Linked DNA regions of Xenopus tropicalis. The protein of the gene in region 3 binds, or shares a complex with, the protein of the main gene of each other region. Links are inferred from orthologs where the notes say so. Each region holds a gene or a part of one and is shown on either strand. Other genes may lie near its edges.

Region 1 (5,311 bases), on a different chromosome or scaffold from region 3:
CTATGACTATCTGATCTCTACAAGAGAGACAGGTTAATCCAGTTCAAAATCATACACAGGCTCCATTTGACCCCTCTACGTCTACATCATATGGGAATCCGCAATTCGTCCCATTGCCATAAATGTGGTGCCCCCGAGGCCAACTACTTTCACTTAATGTGGTCATGCCCACAAATACACCACTTTTGGAATCAGATCCTAGCCCACATCCAAAACACAACATCCCTACCTAAAATACTCAATCCCAAGGTTTGCCTATTCGGCATTTTGCATGACATTACTCCCAAATCAGCATTGCGCATCCTCTGTAGAACATTACTGTTTTATGCCAGGAAAAGTATCCTATTTCAATGGATGGCACACTCTCCCCCGACAATTGCCAGCTGGCTCAATTTACTTAAAGCCCTTCTTCCACTGATACAACTCACCTATATAGCAAGGGGATGCCCCCAAAAGTATGACAAGGTATGGGGAACATGGGTTGAAGCCATGGAATAATGCCACAGGATCCTCCCTGGGAATCTGAACCTCCGCTGGTAATCCCAAATCCTCCCCTTCTTTAACAGAAGTTGAACATTACCTCGAGTAGGATATCACTGATTATTTAAACCAATGTACTGTATATATCCTGACCAAAAACACGCTTGTAGAACCAGTGTCAATGTTTCATGTTGTTATATGTTATAAATGCATAAATAAAAAAAAAAAAATATATATATATATGGGGATAATATAATAACCTCTCAAATACTTTATTTTCCAGTAGGTCCTTTCAACGGACACAGGGACACCGACCCGGTTTAGAATACGGGAGGTCCTGTTTAAATATTCAGAAAGGAATTTTTACTGTGAGAGCTGTGAAGTTGTGGAACTCCCTCCCAGTCATACTGATACAACTGATAAGGGGCTGGATGGCATTTTAGCAAGTGAGGGAATACAGGGTTATGGGAGATAGCTCTTAGTACAAGTTGATCCAGGGACTGGTCCGATTCCCATCTTGGAGTCAGGAAGGAATTTTCTTTCACCCTCTGTGGCAAATTAGAGAGGCATCAGGGGTTTATGGATTTTTTTGCCTTCCTCTGGACCAACTAAAAGTTAGGCAGGTTATATATAGGCATTAAGGTCAAACTTGCCCCCCACCTTCTCTTAAGTCACTGATTGGCTACCAACTTTTAACAGGTTAGAGAGATGCAAAGAAGGAAGTAGTGTTCTGGCTAGACATCTGCTCACCCCAGTATTTAAAGATTATATTTTTGGCTAAGTATATTGAAAACATTTTTTTTTATTTTGCGCAACCTATCTACCCAGTTTTTTCACTGAACAATTCCTTTAAAAGTAGTGGTAGTAATCTGATATAATTTTAAACAGTAACCATATCTGTTCTGTGTATTTAGTTGAAAACCTCCTTTCCCAAACCTCTAGTTGAAACAGTTATCTAAGAAGATTTATCCACCCAGCCTGCAAGACTATTTTCGGAACCCCCAGATGACCTAGACCCTAAGCAGAAACCAAATACGTAAAAATGAAGTTTGGACACAGTACAAGTAGGAAGAAAAAAGTATAGGGAAGAAAAAAGTATAGGGAAGTAAAAGTGACTTACTTTCAAATAACGACCAACGACACCTACAAAAGGCGTTCAAGGCACCAAAACAAACAGATTTGGCTGCTCCGTACAGTACTTCAAACCACTTCCTAGTGAAGAAATGCACATTTGTGGCGTCAGCATCACGTGACTCCGACGTGACTGTTCCGTGATGAAGTCAAAACGCTCTTGCGTGTAGGCGGGCAGCCGGCAGTTGACAGTGGGAGGAACCGGAGGTTGTGAAGGGGGAAAAGTTACATCCGGGAATCTACAAGTCATATAAGCCCAAAGCTCAAAATGGCTGAGGTTTTGGGATGATTTGTGAAGTAACTGGTAAGTAACCCTTTATTTGTGAGGAGTAATTTAGTTGCTCAAAAAATTAAAAGTGCATGTGAACCTGGGTGGTGGTATGTACGAATTGTTTGTTTAGGAGGGGACTGTGCCGTGAAAAACGAGTAGTTTTTCTGCAGAAGTAAGAAACAAAAGTTGTGATCGAGTGTTGTTCGATGTTCGTAATACTGTACCGTTTTCGTGTTCTTGATCGATTAATTTAGACATGGAATGACTATTCGTTAGAAAGTGAACCCAGTTCTAGTTAAGAACAAAGAAGTCTGCAAAGTAAGATCAGAACGCTTGGATAGAATGTCTAGGTGCACCACCAGCGCTATCTCCAAACTCGGATAATACAGTAGTTCTGTGAAAAAAAGGTTTCACAAGATATAGATAGTGCACACAGAAGTTTTCTTTTTCCAGAAAATGAAATGGTGGTAATTTGCTTTTACATAGACAGTTATGCATTTTTCTAGGTGTGGAATAGTGTGGCCAGGTTATGATTATTTGCAATAAATGTTGGGGGCCATATGATTGATATGTGTTCACAATTATTCAAATTATATTTCACACAGGTGTTCTTATTTGTAGGATTTTATGTATTTCTATTAGTAGACATTCTTAAGGTAAAAATATTTATCAACCCAAGACCTCAATGAATCAGTTCAGCCACTATCCAGAATTTTGTTAATTATGATTGCTTTCTTTGCCTTACTAAGCAAAACTTGTTTAAATGCTGTAAGTTTTGCCCTGGTGGAAAATACTTCATTAACACACCAAACTTCTTTTCTCTAACTAGTGACATGAGTGACATCCGCCTGTCACTGCAAACACTGGAAAGAAATGATGCACGAAAATATGTACCTAAGTTAAATACACCCTGTGTGCACAATGACCGGTGGATGCATTGAGGCCAAAAATGTGCATTGCAGCATTTTAATAGTCACCTGTACTGTTTTAGAAAGTAGGCAGGTAATTTATCAGTTTTGTATATATTAGCAGTATTCGGACACAATGGGGTCACTTATCAAAACTGTGTAAATCAGGATGTGGGCTGCATCAATAAGCAGATGTGAATCTAACAATTTAGCCAGATATTGGTCGGTCAGGCCTGTTGGAAGGACCAAGTCAGCAGCTTTTATTGGCTTGTGTATGGCCAACCTTACTTTTGCTGTTATTGCTCCTAGTTGAAAAAGTCACCGTGGTTGCAGTGGGTTTCTGCCCTGGTGCAAATAGTTTTTTTTTGTTTTTTTGATAACTGAGCCCCACAGTCTTTTTTCCTCCAGGAGTCCACAGAAGCTAAAATATCCTTGTAATATTAACTTAGAGGAAGCTTGAATGGTGTACATGGAGCAATAAAACTTGGACCACCGTGTCTTGAAATACTCACATGAACGCTTCTTGTATGTTTCAGCCACAGCTTATTTTACTTGATTTAATCAGAATAATGACAGGCTGACGTGGGCATTTCAAGGCTGGACTGCAGCTGCAGTTAAAACCATAAACTGCAACATAAATTGGAGCCACCATGGGCAGTTTTGGCCTCTTCTCAATCCATTAAAATACACCAGCATGTTATTATTAGCCATAAGCTGGGTAGCATTAGCAGGATAGAAATCTGGAGCTCCTATCCGTTAAAACAGCAGATTTCTTCCGGACAGGTGTCTGGGAGAGTTGTATTCTTCTTGCCTGTCCTTTGTTCTGAGGGCAGGCTGAACAGATGAGGCTCTGTTCACATTAGCTGAGGGAGGCGGTTTTACTGACATCCCTTTGCAAGGCAGCAGTAAAGAGAGGCTGCAAATTTACCCTTATGTCTGTATTTTAAAGGGATACTGTCATGTGGAGAAGTGCTTTTTTCACAACACATCAGTTATTAGTGCTCTCCTGTTGATGTTACCGCCCAATGGCAGATGAGGGCATTTTGTTGCCCACATGAAATCATTCTCCTCACAGCAGCAAAGCAACCAGAAATACAACCGAATAACGTCCTCTGTAAATTGCCGCTTGTAAAAGGGACTTCTTACTTTGTTCAGCAAACATGCAGAACAGAACATTTTGGAGCAGTTAAAAAAATAAATAAATAAATTAAAAAAAGAGAGTTTTATCTGTGATGAGTTACATATGGTGCAGTTCAAATGTGTTTTTGGATGCTTTGTTACCCATGAAGTGTAAAGTTTTCTGACATCACCCAATCTGCAATTCCCCTAAAGGTGGCCATACACGGGCCAATTTCAGCTGCTGATATCGATCCTTTAGACCAATTCAACAGCTTATCTGCCTGTGTATGGGCACCAATGATGGTCCTCCTGGACCGACATTTGGCATGAAATCAGCCAGATCTCGAACTGGCAGGTTTGATTTTTCGGTCGGATCAGGGACCACATCAGCTCGTTGATGTGGTCCCCGAACAGACAGCGGCTATGCCCGCCGTTTTAATGCAAACGAATTAGCCCCATATATAGCCCTCCCGTAGGTGGGCATATCAGGAGAAGATCCACTCACTTGGTAACCTCGCCAAAGGAGTGGATCTTACAGTGTATGTCTACCTTAAGTGCTACATCACATGGGTAGGATGTGGGGGGTTATGCTGACACTGTGGTCAGGGAAAACCAGCAATGGTTAAAACAGCTACAGTATGTCTGCCTGTCACAGCTTCTGATAACATGAAATGTAATTTGACTAAGTATGGTTATTGGTGGAGTTCTACCTTTCACTGCTTCATGTTCATCACTCGAGGTGTTTCCATTTAAAATTATTGTGTGTTAATGGGGCATCTTGGCTTTTGCTGGCTTTTAGCATGTGTGGTTTAAGGCATTTCTCTGGCAAGTGAATATATGTTGTAAAGCCTAGTATTACAATAGGTTTAGCCTTTCTGTGTCAGCTTGTACAGTAAAGGCCATATTATATACACTTGTAAATAATGATATAGAGACTTCCAAGAACAATAACCCCACATGCAAAATACATTATACAGTGAGAGGCAGGAGTGTACTCACACATAAAATACATGGTTACCCCCTCTTACCCTTCCAAAAAGCAGGTTACGTGCCACATTAACTGCTGCCTTGCCCTCCACCACATCCTCCACTCATTACTGTCACTGCTCAAGGCGTTGCTCAGGACAAAATAGTATACCAGTTTATGTCAATCTTAAATTAACTTGCAATACAGTCAGATATACTTTACATTCTTTCATCCCTGTAACAGTAAAGGAAGTTAGCAAACTTCTGGTCTGCTCCTAACCCACAACCTGCACCCTTGACCCCATACCTTTTCACCTCCTTCACTCAATATCTGATCACTCAGCCCTGCACTTACCCACCTGCTTAACCATTCACTTTCTGCTGGTACTTTTCCATTTTCATACAAACAAGCACTAATCACACCCATTCTTGAAAA
Region 2 (5,239 bases), on a different chromosome or scaffold from region 3:
GGCTGTGGGATAGCAGGTATAGTAGGGAGAGATGGTGCCTATAGTAGCAGTGGGGGGATAATTGCCTCTGGGAAGGGACTGGGGCTGTGGGATAGCAGGTATAGTAGGGAGAGATGGTGCCTATAGTAGCAGTGGGGGGATAATAGACTCTGGGAAGGGACTGTGGCTGTGGGATAGCAGGTATAGTAGGGAGAGATGGTGCCTATAGTAGCAGTGGGGGGATAATAGCCTCTGGGAAGGGACTGGGGCTGTGGGATAGCAGGTATAGTAGGGAGAGATGGTGCCTATAGTAGCAGTGGGGGGATAATAGCCTCTGGGAAGGGACTGTGGGAAAATTGACAATAGCCACAATTAGACCTCTGTAGATAGGTTCCTGTGGTCTGAAAACATTTAGCTGAATTGCCCAGTATCCAATAACAGCAAACTGCTAAGGCCTTTACTCCAATCACAGTTCTATGTAACTCCATATTAATCCAATACTTTGCCATACATGCCTGTTCCCTGTTGTACAGTCCCATTGCATAGGGCAGCAATTACAGACAGATTCATTTCTGTTTATTGGCAGGTTAGTTTGAGGGGATAAACTATATGTGAGCAGAAAAACAACTTTAGGACTGAAAAGGTTATAGCCATGTAGGAATGTATTTCCTGGTAATCATGGGATTGTCTTTATGTTCAACCTGGAAAAAAAAGCAGCAGCCCTGCCATGCAGCTATCCTTCTCACTATTTAAAGGACCTTGCCCTTTGAGGCTGCACAAACAAAAAAACTTGTGTGGCACAACATGGTGCAAGAATACATATTGTAATGCAGAGATAGGGGGTTCTGCTTGGGAAAAAACTGTGACTGTGCTTCCAAAACTTGTCTCCAAGCCAGAGATTTTAAAATGGGCACTGGAGACTGGGAACAACAAAGGAGATGGTGAGCAATACCACTGGTTGGGCATCACTAACATAGATGGTGATATGCAGAGATAATTTGCAATTGGTCCTTTTTTTTTTGCTATTTACCTTTTTCTTCAGCAGCTTTCCAGATTTGAATTTTTAGAAGCTATCTGGTTGCTAGGCTCCAATTTGCCTTAGCAACCAGGCAGTGGTGTGAATGACAGAGTGGAAGAGGAAAGGCTAAAGCTGCCCATAATGCAGTGATATAAGCGTAAATGTAGTTTGATTTTTGGACTGTATGTGGGCTCCAAATGATCCCAATAATACCGAGGTGATCAGTCGTTTAGTCGATTGGACAGGTTAGAAAATGTTAGTGCTTGGGGTGTATGTGACGGCGCGCTTGGGGAGTATGTGACGGCGCGCTTGGGGTGTATGTGACGGCGCGCTTGGGGTGTATGTGACGGCGCGCTTGGGGTGTATGTGACGGCGCGCTTGGGGTGTATGTGACGGCGCGCTTGGGGTGTATGTGACGGCGCGCTTGGGGTGTATGTGACGGCGCGCTTGGGGTGTATGTGACGGCGCGCTTGGGGTGTATGTGACGGCGCGCTTGGGGTGTATGTGACGGCGCGCTTGGGGTGTATGTGACGGCGCGCTTGGGGGGGGGTCACTTTCCTACCATTGGTGTCTGACAACTATTTCATGTTCAGAAATTCCTCTGATTTGATATTTTTAGGGCTTTAACTTACAATTTCAGCCCTAACATTAGTTCGTTGCATTTAAACATACGATCGATATCTAAACGTTCATCAGAAGAAGGCTAAAATCTGAACTTGGATGGCCGGCTTCAAACAGAGATATAAGTACCAATAACGGTGTAGCCTCACAGAGCAACAGATATTTGTGGTTGCTAGGGTCTGAGACCCCTAACTAACTAACCCAAGCACATGGAGGCAGAGGGGTAAATAGTGTCAGAACTATAACAATTCACTATGAAGCCCAATGGAAAAGTTGCAAAGCACAGGGCATAGGGTAGGGAAGTGGTAGGGAGCCTTGGCGGGGGCTAGGGCCATGCTGTCACTGCTCCTGAGGGAACATTCGGGGTCGGACGCGCACGGACAATACGTGTCATTAGCTTGTTCCCCCGGACCCCAGCGCCCTCCCCCCAACACCCGCAGCTCTAGCACTAGTCAGTTTACCGGAGTTCCGCTCGGTGCAAGCCAACAGACGGTTCCGCTCTCCGCCCGTCCCCGCCGCCGCCGCCGATAGAATGTAGCGGGTTGGACTTGGGCGCCCGCCGCATTGTTTGCATTCCATTGCGGTCACGTGGGAGCCCCTGCCTGCGTCATCGACGTGGAGAAGCGGGGATTGGCCGGTGTGTGAGGGGGCGTGGCCCCGGGAATCCTTCGCTTTCCCTCTCTCCGGCCTGTGGCGCGATTAACTTGTTCTGTGCTGAGCTCTCAAAGTTACCACAGAGGCCGCCTGATGGCTGTGCGCTTTATCCTTCTACCATTCACCTCTACAGCACCATTCTGCCTTCTGTAACCCTTCCAACCCTCAGCTTTAGCGTCTTCACAGCCCATTTGCGCCAGCCCATCTATTAACGTGATACTGACACTGCTAGGGTTTCAATTACTGAGCAGCACAAGGAGTGGTTTGACCAGAGACTAATATGTTTATAGAAGATGGACCTAAACAGAAAAATAAGTAATAAAAAGTAACTGCTGGGGTCAGTGACCCCCATTTGAAAGTTAGAAAGAGTCAGAAGAAGGCACATCATTTAAAAAGTATAAAAAATAAATAAGGACCAATTGGAAAGCTAAAATTATAACTAACATACAGACAATGCTATGATAGATGTAAAAAGGGGTTAATTTTTTGGTGTCAGTATCTCTTTACCACCCCCAGCATCCTTAATTGAGTACATTAACCCTTTCTACCCCAATGCTGTCACACCTATCCATATGGACTGTAAACTATCATAATAGCTCCCTGTGGCTATCTTGTTATTGTAATGACGCGTCTCAGTGCCCTCTGAAAAAACAGGTTGCTATATGGCTTTGCTTAGTAACCCCCCCTCTCCCCTGCCAGCAGCTATAATATCACTCTATACACTGTTTGGACTAATTATATGACCCTCTAAGGCAGTGCTGTCTTATTACAAGTAGTGGGCCAATTATATCTGGTAGAGTCTATGTGAAGTGAAGTCTATGGAGCCTGGGGACCATAAAAATCCTTTGGAGCACCACATGCAGTGGTGTAACTACTCTGTGCTGCCCCCAACCCCCCTGCAAAAACCTTCAGAGGGGCCCAGTGCAGAGTAGTAAACTTACATAGGCTCCTTGGTCAGAGACTTTGTTACAAGGGGGTCATTGGTCAGAGAACCCACTAAGAGGCTATTTAGTCTTGTCTATGTGTGTTCTCTTTCCATCTCATGCCTAATGTGCTCACTATTTCCATTTAACAGGTATGTGAAAATCTGGTCTCATTTCTAAACATAAAGTCAAAGCTCAAAATTGAAATCCACAAAGGTATTTTGTTGAATACACACCCCTTTGTACTAGCCTCTGCCACCTCTCACTTGCCTTGAGGAGATAGTGCTTGCAGGCGTGTTTGCTTGCACGTGGAACTAACTTGCACCCAATTAATTAGTTACTTACATTTTTTATGCACTTACAAATGCCAAATGCATGAGAGTCAGGTGTTTCAATCAATGGGATGATAATCAGGTTTGAGCGTGGGATGCCCGGCGTTAATTACATAACGGAAATCCGGCTCCTCACTATCCAAGTCTGATCTTTGCAACAAAAGTTTGTAGAAGTCCTGCAAATCCGCCAATGCAAGAGACATGTATCATGGCTGAAACAAAAAAGATTTCTGAGGACCTCCAAAAATCACTTGTTATTGCTCAGGCTGGAAAAGGTTGAAAAACTAATTATAGAGAATTTGGACTCCATCAGTCAGGCAGGTCATGTACAAATGGTGGCAAACAAAAGTCACAACAACAGCAAGCATTTTGGGAGATCTAAAGAAATAAAAATGGCCTATAATGAACTAAAGTAGTCTCTGGCATTGGCCGATGTCAATATTCATGGGTCCACTATCAAAACAATGGTGTGCATGGCAGGGTTGCAAGGAGAAACCACTGCTATGCAAAAAGGAATTCTACCAGCAAATTTGAACCTAAAAACAAAGTCCACCAAAGAATGGATGAACAGAAGAAAGTTTATGTTTTGGAACAGCCAAGTCAAAGTCCTGATATTAATCCTGTAGAAATGTTGTGGAAAATTCGGAAGCAGGCAGTCTATGCGAGGAAGCCTGACAACATCCCTGAGTTGAGGTTGTTCTGATTTCAGGAATGGGCTAAAATTCCCAAAAACTGATTTGCAGGACTGATCATCAGCTCTCGGAAATATTTAGTGGTAGTCATTGCTGCCCAATGGGGGCACACCATTTATTAAAAACAAAGGTTCACATAGTTGTGCCCTACACAAAATGTAACATAGGGTCCTTTTTCTCAAGAGATAAATGAACACACATTATGTTTTTGACTAATTTGTTTAATGGGATTCTCATTATCTAGTATTAGGGCAAAATGGTTTGCAAAATTTCAGACACCACTGTATGGGCTATTGTAGTTCCTACACTTGTGTGCACTTGTACAATGCAGGTTAGTTAGTTGATAAGATATCCTACAAACTCTTGTTGTTTAACTATTTGCTGCCTGATGGGCGAAATGCTCTATATCTGCTACAGCTTGGCTATAAGGGAGTTGTTAACCTTGAGACTGTGTGTACATTGCCTCTGTAATGCTTGTGATAAGACATTGCTGAAGTTCCATTTCACTGCAGCTGTTGCAATCTTTTTGGTGACTGAAGGCTGACACGCATGGGCCAGTCGTTCAGTTTTGGGAAAGTCTGGTATTTGTTCTGAGGTATCACAATAAAGCAGGCACCTTCCATATGTGTGGGTCAGCTGAGATAATCTCTCATGTGTGAACAGAGAATAATCAACTCAGTTTGGTTGTTCTTTCTGTCCAAGGGGATGAAAATGTGAAAGCTGGCAGTATGCTTCCAGAAGCATTAAGCATGCAGCGGTACAAGTATTAAGGGTGAAGACACGGAGCTACTTATTAGCAGATACTTGTCTTGGCTACTAAAAGCCAGACAATACTGAGAATTGCCTCTGCTAAAACTCACATAGGGGCCCATTTACTTACTCACGAACTGGCCGAATGCGTCCGATTGCGTTTTTTCGTAATGATCAGTATTTTGCGATTTTTCGGCTAATTGTCGCAACTTTTTCGTTGCCATTCCGAATGTTGCGCAAAATCTGGCGATTTTTTCATAGCGTTAATAC
Region 3 (4,614 bases):
CACCATATAGGAGGTTTTACTAGATATCTCTAGAAGCTTTTGCTTAGCTCGACGTTCTGAATCCCGAGCCTCTTGCAAGTCTTGCTTGAGTTGCTCAGCTTCCTTAACTCTAAACAACACGAGAGAATGAAAGCAGTTAAAACAACTTAGTTCAAAAAGAAGCATACAGGGGCTCATTTATCAAAATTGGGCACATTTGTACCTGGTGCCCATACACATGAAGATTCGCTCGCTTGGCGAGGTTGCCAAGCAAGCGGATCTTTACCCGATATCCCCACCTATGGGTGGGCGACATCGGGGGAACATGTGGGCAGTTCGGGGACCGCATCAACAAGCAAAACTGGGGGACAAAAGCTGCCATTTGTAACTTGCAACATGCTTAGCTGTTGCTAAAATACAACTCTCAACATGCTGGTGTTAGTCCCTTAATAGCAGCAGAAGCCCGCAGGTTAAAGATTACTTTGGTAAAAAAAAGTAAAACAAGAATAACTATTACAAGGAATGAAAAAAGGCAGTGTCAAATGCAAACTTTACCTCCGTTCTGATTCCTCTGCCATCTTTATTGCCAGCATTTCTGTCTCCATGACCTTTTGCTCCATTAACCGCTTTTCTTCCTCATTGCGAATGGCTGTGGCTTTGATTCTTTGCATTTCTTGTTCAGCCTCTGCTGCTTTCTGGGCCAGTAGTTTGGCTTCCTCTTCTGTGATCTGAGCTTTTTCTGCCAGTAGGTCAGCAGTCTCCTCTGACCGCATCTAGGGAGAACAGCAATACAGAGCTGTTTATTAGCAATCCCAGATACAAGAGACCTCAAATAGTAACAGAAGCCTGACGATGCTGCAAACAGCTTTCATTCCCCATTAGCACAATGACTTCTCACATGTTTAGTTAGAAAGTCATTCAAGCTTAGATATGTATGGGTAACACTATTAATAAATCATGAAATACCTGGCTCTACAGACAAGTCTTACCAATGCATCATTGGCCATCTGAGCCTCTTCTTTTAGCTGCAGCAGCCTTCTTTCCAGCTCATCCCGGGCTCTTTCCGCCTCTTCCCTCAGTTGTTTTTCCCGTGCCAGGCGTTGCCGTTCCATCTATAGAGATGCAACAAGTTAAAAGTGATACAAGGGACTACTAAGGCATAACAAGGATTTTTTTTTTTTTAACAAGTTTCAACAATCCATAAGAGTATAAACCTGTCTTTAAAAGCTGTGGCGCTGTGTTATTAAATACAACCAAACCTTAGAGTAAAAACTTGTCTCAGCAGCCACACCCATCACAGAACACATTATTATGGTTTTTAATATGCATTGTGATATGTAGACATCCTTAAAATTAATTTGAAATCACCGGCAGGACCTCTGCTGCCACCCTGTTTTCTCAACCTTGTGCATGTGTTGTTTATAACCCTATTATGCGGCTGTACTGAAAATGGTAGTTATTTATGAATTAAACATGAAGGTAAAACAAAGATCTGTCTCAGATATAGAGCTTTACAACTATTTATTTAGACTCATGCTTTGCAAGAATAAAATATTTTGTTAATTGCGTTTAGTTAATGAAAGCTCTGAAAGGGAGAAAAATAAACAGCGGGAAGAAGCACTTCCTCACAGTGTTAGTGTTTAATAATTAAAAATGCTATACTTGAACCTGTACTAACACTGACCCCTTGTGGTTCACCCTTGCAGTAAAACAGACCTGTATTCTAGTCAAGCGTAATCATGTGGATACAAGTCAATGACTTGTAGGCAGGGTGTTAGAATGTTACATGTTGTGAAGGTGTCACTGTGACATCCTTTTCCCCTTGATGGCATTATTAACATTCTTGCCTGGCTGCAACTGGACTTTACATTGCTGCCACTGAGGAATTTTAGAATAATTCAAACGTAACCTATTAAGGACACACAAGACCAGTCTTCTTTTCTGAAATTTCATAAGAATGACCACCATGAAAATTATTTAAAGGAAAACTATACCCCCAGAATGAATACCTAACTAACAGATAGTTTATGTTAAGTGACCTATTAAAGAATCTCGGCAAACTGGAATATATATATATATATATATATATATATACACATATATATATCAAAATAAAACAGCCAGCACCAAGGGTCTTTGTGTTTCAAAAAATCTCTCGTGTATTAAAATTGCATGTACAACCGACGTTTCGGTCCCTTTTGGGACCTTTTTACACACACACATATATATATATATATATATATATATAGCAAGACAATGAGCCGCACACGCAGGGACTTTTTTAGAAAACAAAAAATTTCTTTAATGAAAACGATCCATATATATATATAATCAAAAAAAAATCGGCACTCACCGTTTCAAGAGCACTAGCCGGGTGCTAACCAAAAAGTAAACAATAGATGTGTAGAAAGCACTCACAGCATATAAAAGTAAAACAAAAATGTATTTGTTTATTAGCTCATCGCATCTACGCGTTTCGATCCTAATAGGATCCTGATGACGATCCTATTAGGATCGAAACGCGTAGATGCGATGAGCTAATAAACAAATACATTTTTGTTTTACTTTTATATGCTGTGAGTGCTTTCTACACATCTATTTTATATATATATATATATATATATACACACCATTTAGTGATGGGCTGTGTGCTCCCTCAGAGATCACCTGACAGGAAATAATGCAGCTCTAACTGTAACAGGAAGTAGCATGGAAGCAAAAGCAGAACTCTGTCCATTAATTGGCCGATGTGGCCTAGCATGTATGTGTGCCTTGGCTTGATAGTGTGCACTGTGAATCCTATGATCCCAGAAGGCGGCCCTTAATTCCTTCTAAACTAGTAGTTTTCCTGAAGCAAATAGATCAGTAAAAGCAAAGCAACAGTACATTATATTTTAATTATTTTAAAACACTGTATCTGGTGTTATTGTTCCTTTCAAAGTAATTAAAACATAATGTACTGTTTACTCTGCACTGGTAAATTGGTGTGTTTGCTTCAGGAATCCTATAAATAAAACAATGCTGCTGTGTAGCCCTGGGGGCAGCCATTCAAGCTAAAAGAAAGGAGAAAAGGCACAGGTTACATAGCAGATAACAGACCAGTAGAATACATGGGTATTTTATCTGTTATCTGCTATGTAACCTGTGCCTTTTCTCCTTTCTTTTAGCTTGAATGGCTGCCCCCATGGCTACACAGCAACTTATATATATAACTATAGTAATGTTGCTAAAGCAAACACAAAACTTTTACCAGTACAGGGCAACAGTCAATTATATTTTAATCACTTTAAAAATAGGGATGCTCCAAATCCAGAATGGTCCTGGACAAACTGAATCTGAATCCTTAAAATCGTGTGACTTTATCACATAGACAAGGAAGGTGAACATTTTTCACTACTCACAGATCTTTTTACTTCTGTGCCTTTATTTGCATGTGCTGATTCGGGGTTCAGCTGAATCCCAAAATAGTGGATTTGGTGCATCCCTAAAACACTTTCAGTTTTTGGTGTTACTGTTCCTTTAACTGTTACCAGGCCCAATCTGGACCACTCAATGGGATATACTGACAATTGCAGCACCTTAAAGGGATTAGGGTTCATCAAAACAAGTGGCAACAAACTCTGCCACCCAAGGCAGTGATCCCCAACCAGTGGCTCATGAGCAACATGTAACTCACCATCCCCTTTGATGTTGCTCCCAGTCGCCTCAAAGTAGGTGCCCATTTTTACATTTCTGGCTTGAAGACAAGTTTTGGAAGCATATAGACACAGTTTTTGTCCAAGCAGAGCCTTGTGCAGGTTAGGAGTTCACATGGGCTACCAAATAACCAATCACAGGCCCTTATTTAGCATCCTTAAGGAACCTTTTTCACGCTTGTGTGGCTCACCAAGATATGGATGATAAGTAAAAAAGGTTGGAAATCCCTGCTCTAAGGGCTATGACACACTGAGCTATTTCCAGCCTACTACAAAATAGACAATACTTATTTTCTCTACATGTGTTTTAGCAGATACAATATTGAGAATTGTCTCTGCTAAAACACATGTAGAGGAAATCATCAGTACTGTCTATTCTGTAGCTGGTTGCAAGCAGCTCTGTGTGTCATTACCCTAAAACTTTAAAATCAAGTAACAAAAATGGTTCTTCAGTGCCCTGGGAAAAGTACCATTCTGAAAAAAGAGCTCAGACAAAGTACTGTGTAAAAAAACAACTGTATGAAAATTAGACTATGCTTTTACCATACAAAAACAATACAATAATATGCATATTATTCTCAGCAAAATGATACTCATGCAATGTGTGCTCATTTCAAAATCATCCTAAGCAGTGTTACAGTTTCAATTATTTCTGTTAAAAACAATAAATTCATTATATGGGTATAATTTAGTGTGCATATCCTCTATAAATTTGCATTTGTATGTACAAATCAAAGCTATGACAACAGTTGATAATCTCTAAACAGCTATTGAGATCCTAATGCTCATAAACAGAATGCTTATGTTGTGGTCTACTGATAATGCAACAAGACATAGCAACATTTATAAATGCAAATATGTAGACTAAATAATTTTTGCACCCAATGAAAAATGCCCATAACCGTTACAATGGAATTCCTCTCTTTCACCTGCCAAATGT

Evidence for each region.
Region 1: the proteins of nf2 (region 3) and lats1 are in contact, whole or in part, in a crystal structure (PDB 7LWH), measured with the Homo sapiens proteins. The link is inferred for Xenopus tropicalis from reciprocal best matches to the Homo sapiens genes NF2 and LATS1. Residues at the interface, in NP_000259.1 of Homo sapiens: Pro135, Glu136, Ala137, Val139, Leu140, Tyr144, Asn175, Leu176, Tyr177, Gln178, Met179, Met183, Trp184, Arg187, Trp191, Glu206, Ile210, Asp213, Leu214, Glu215; in NP_004681.1 of Homo sapiens: Pro69, Lys70, Phe71, Gly72, His74, Ala77, Leu78, Glu80, Ile81, Arg82, Ser84, Leu85, Phe88, Ala89, Asn90.
Region 2: the proteins of nf2 (region 3) and lats2 are in contact, whole or in part, in a crystal structure (PDB 4ZRI), measured with the Homo sapiens proteins. The link is inferred for Xenopus tropicalis from reciprocal best matches to the Homo sapiens genes NF2 and LATS2. Residues at the interface, in NP_000259.1 of Homo sapiens: Pro135, Glu136, Ala137, Val139, Leu140, Tyr144, Asn175, Leu176, Tyr177, Gln178, Met179, Trp184, Arg187, Trp191, Glu206, Lys209, Ile210; in NP_055387.2 of Homo sapiens: Tyr73, Ala76, Leu77, Glu79, Ile80, Arg81, Ser83, Leu84, Leu85, Phe87, Ala88, Asn89.

The regions. Positions count from the first base shown.
Region 1 is NC_030681.2:58,191,282-58,196,592, forward strand, and holds the start of lats1 (serine/threonine-protein kinase LATS1), read left to right. Parts: upstream 1-1,812; 5' UTR 1,813-1,915; intron 1,916-5,311. UniProt on the Homo sapiens protein: Negative regulator of YAP1 in the Hippo signaling pathway that plays a pivotal role in organ size control and tumor suppression by restricting proliferation and promoting apoptosis.
Region 2 is NC_030678.2:157,780,336-157,785,574, reverse strand, and holds the start of lats2 (serine/threonine-protein kinase LATS2), read right to left. Parts: upstream 3,500-5,239; 5' UTR 3,432-3,499; intron 2,401-3,431; exon of another isoform or gene 2,080-2,400; intron 1-2,079. UniProt on the Homo sapiens protein: Negative regulator of YAP1 in the Hippo signaling pathway that plays a pivotal role in organ size control and tumor suppression by restricting proliferation and promoting apoptosis.
Region 3 is NC_030677.2:144,768,413-144,773,026, forward strand, and holds part of nf2 (merlin), read right to left. Parts: intron 1,092-4,614; coding exon 969-1,091; intron 753-968; coding exon 535-752; intron 110-534; coding exon 4-109; intron 1-3. UniProt on the Homo sapiens protein: Probable regulator of the Hippo/SWH (Sav/Wts/Hpo) signaling pathway, a signaling pathway that plays a pivotal role in tumor suppression by restricting proliferation and promoting apoptosis.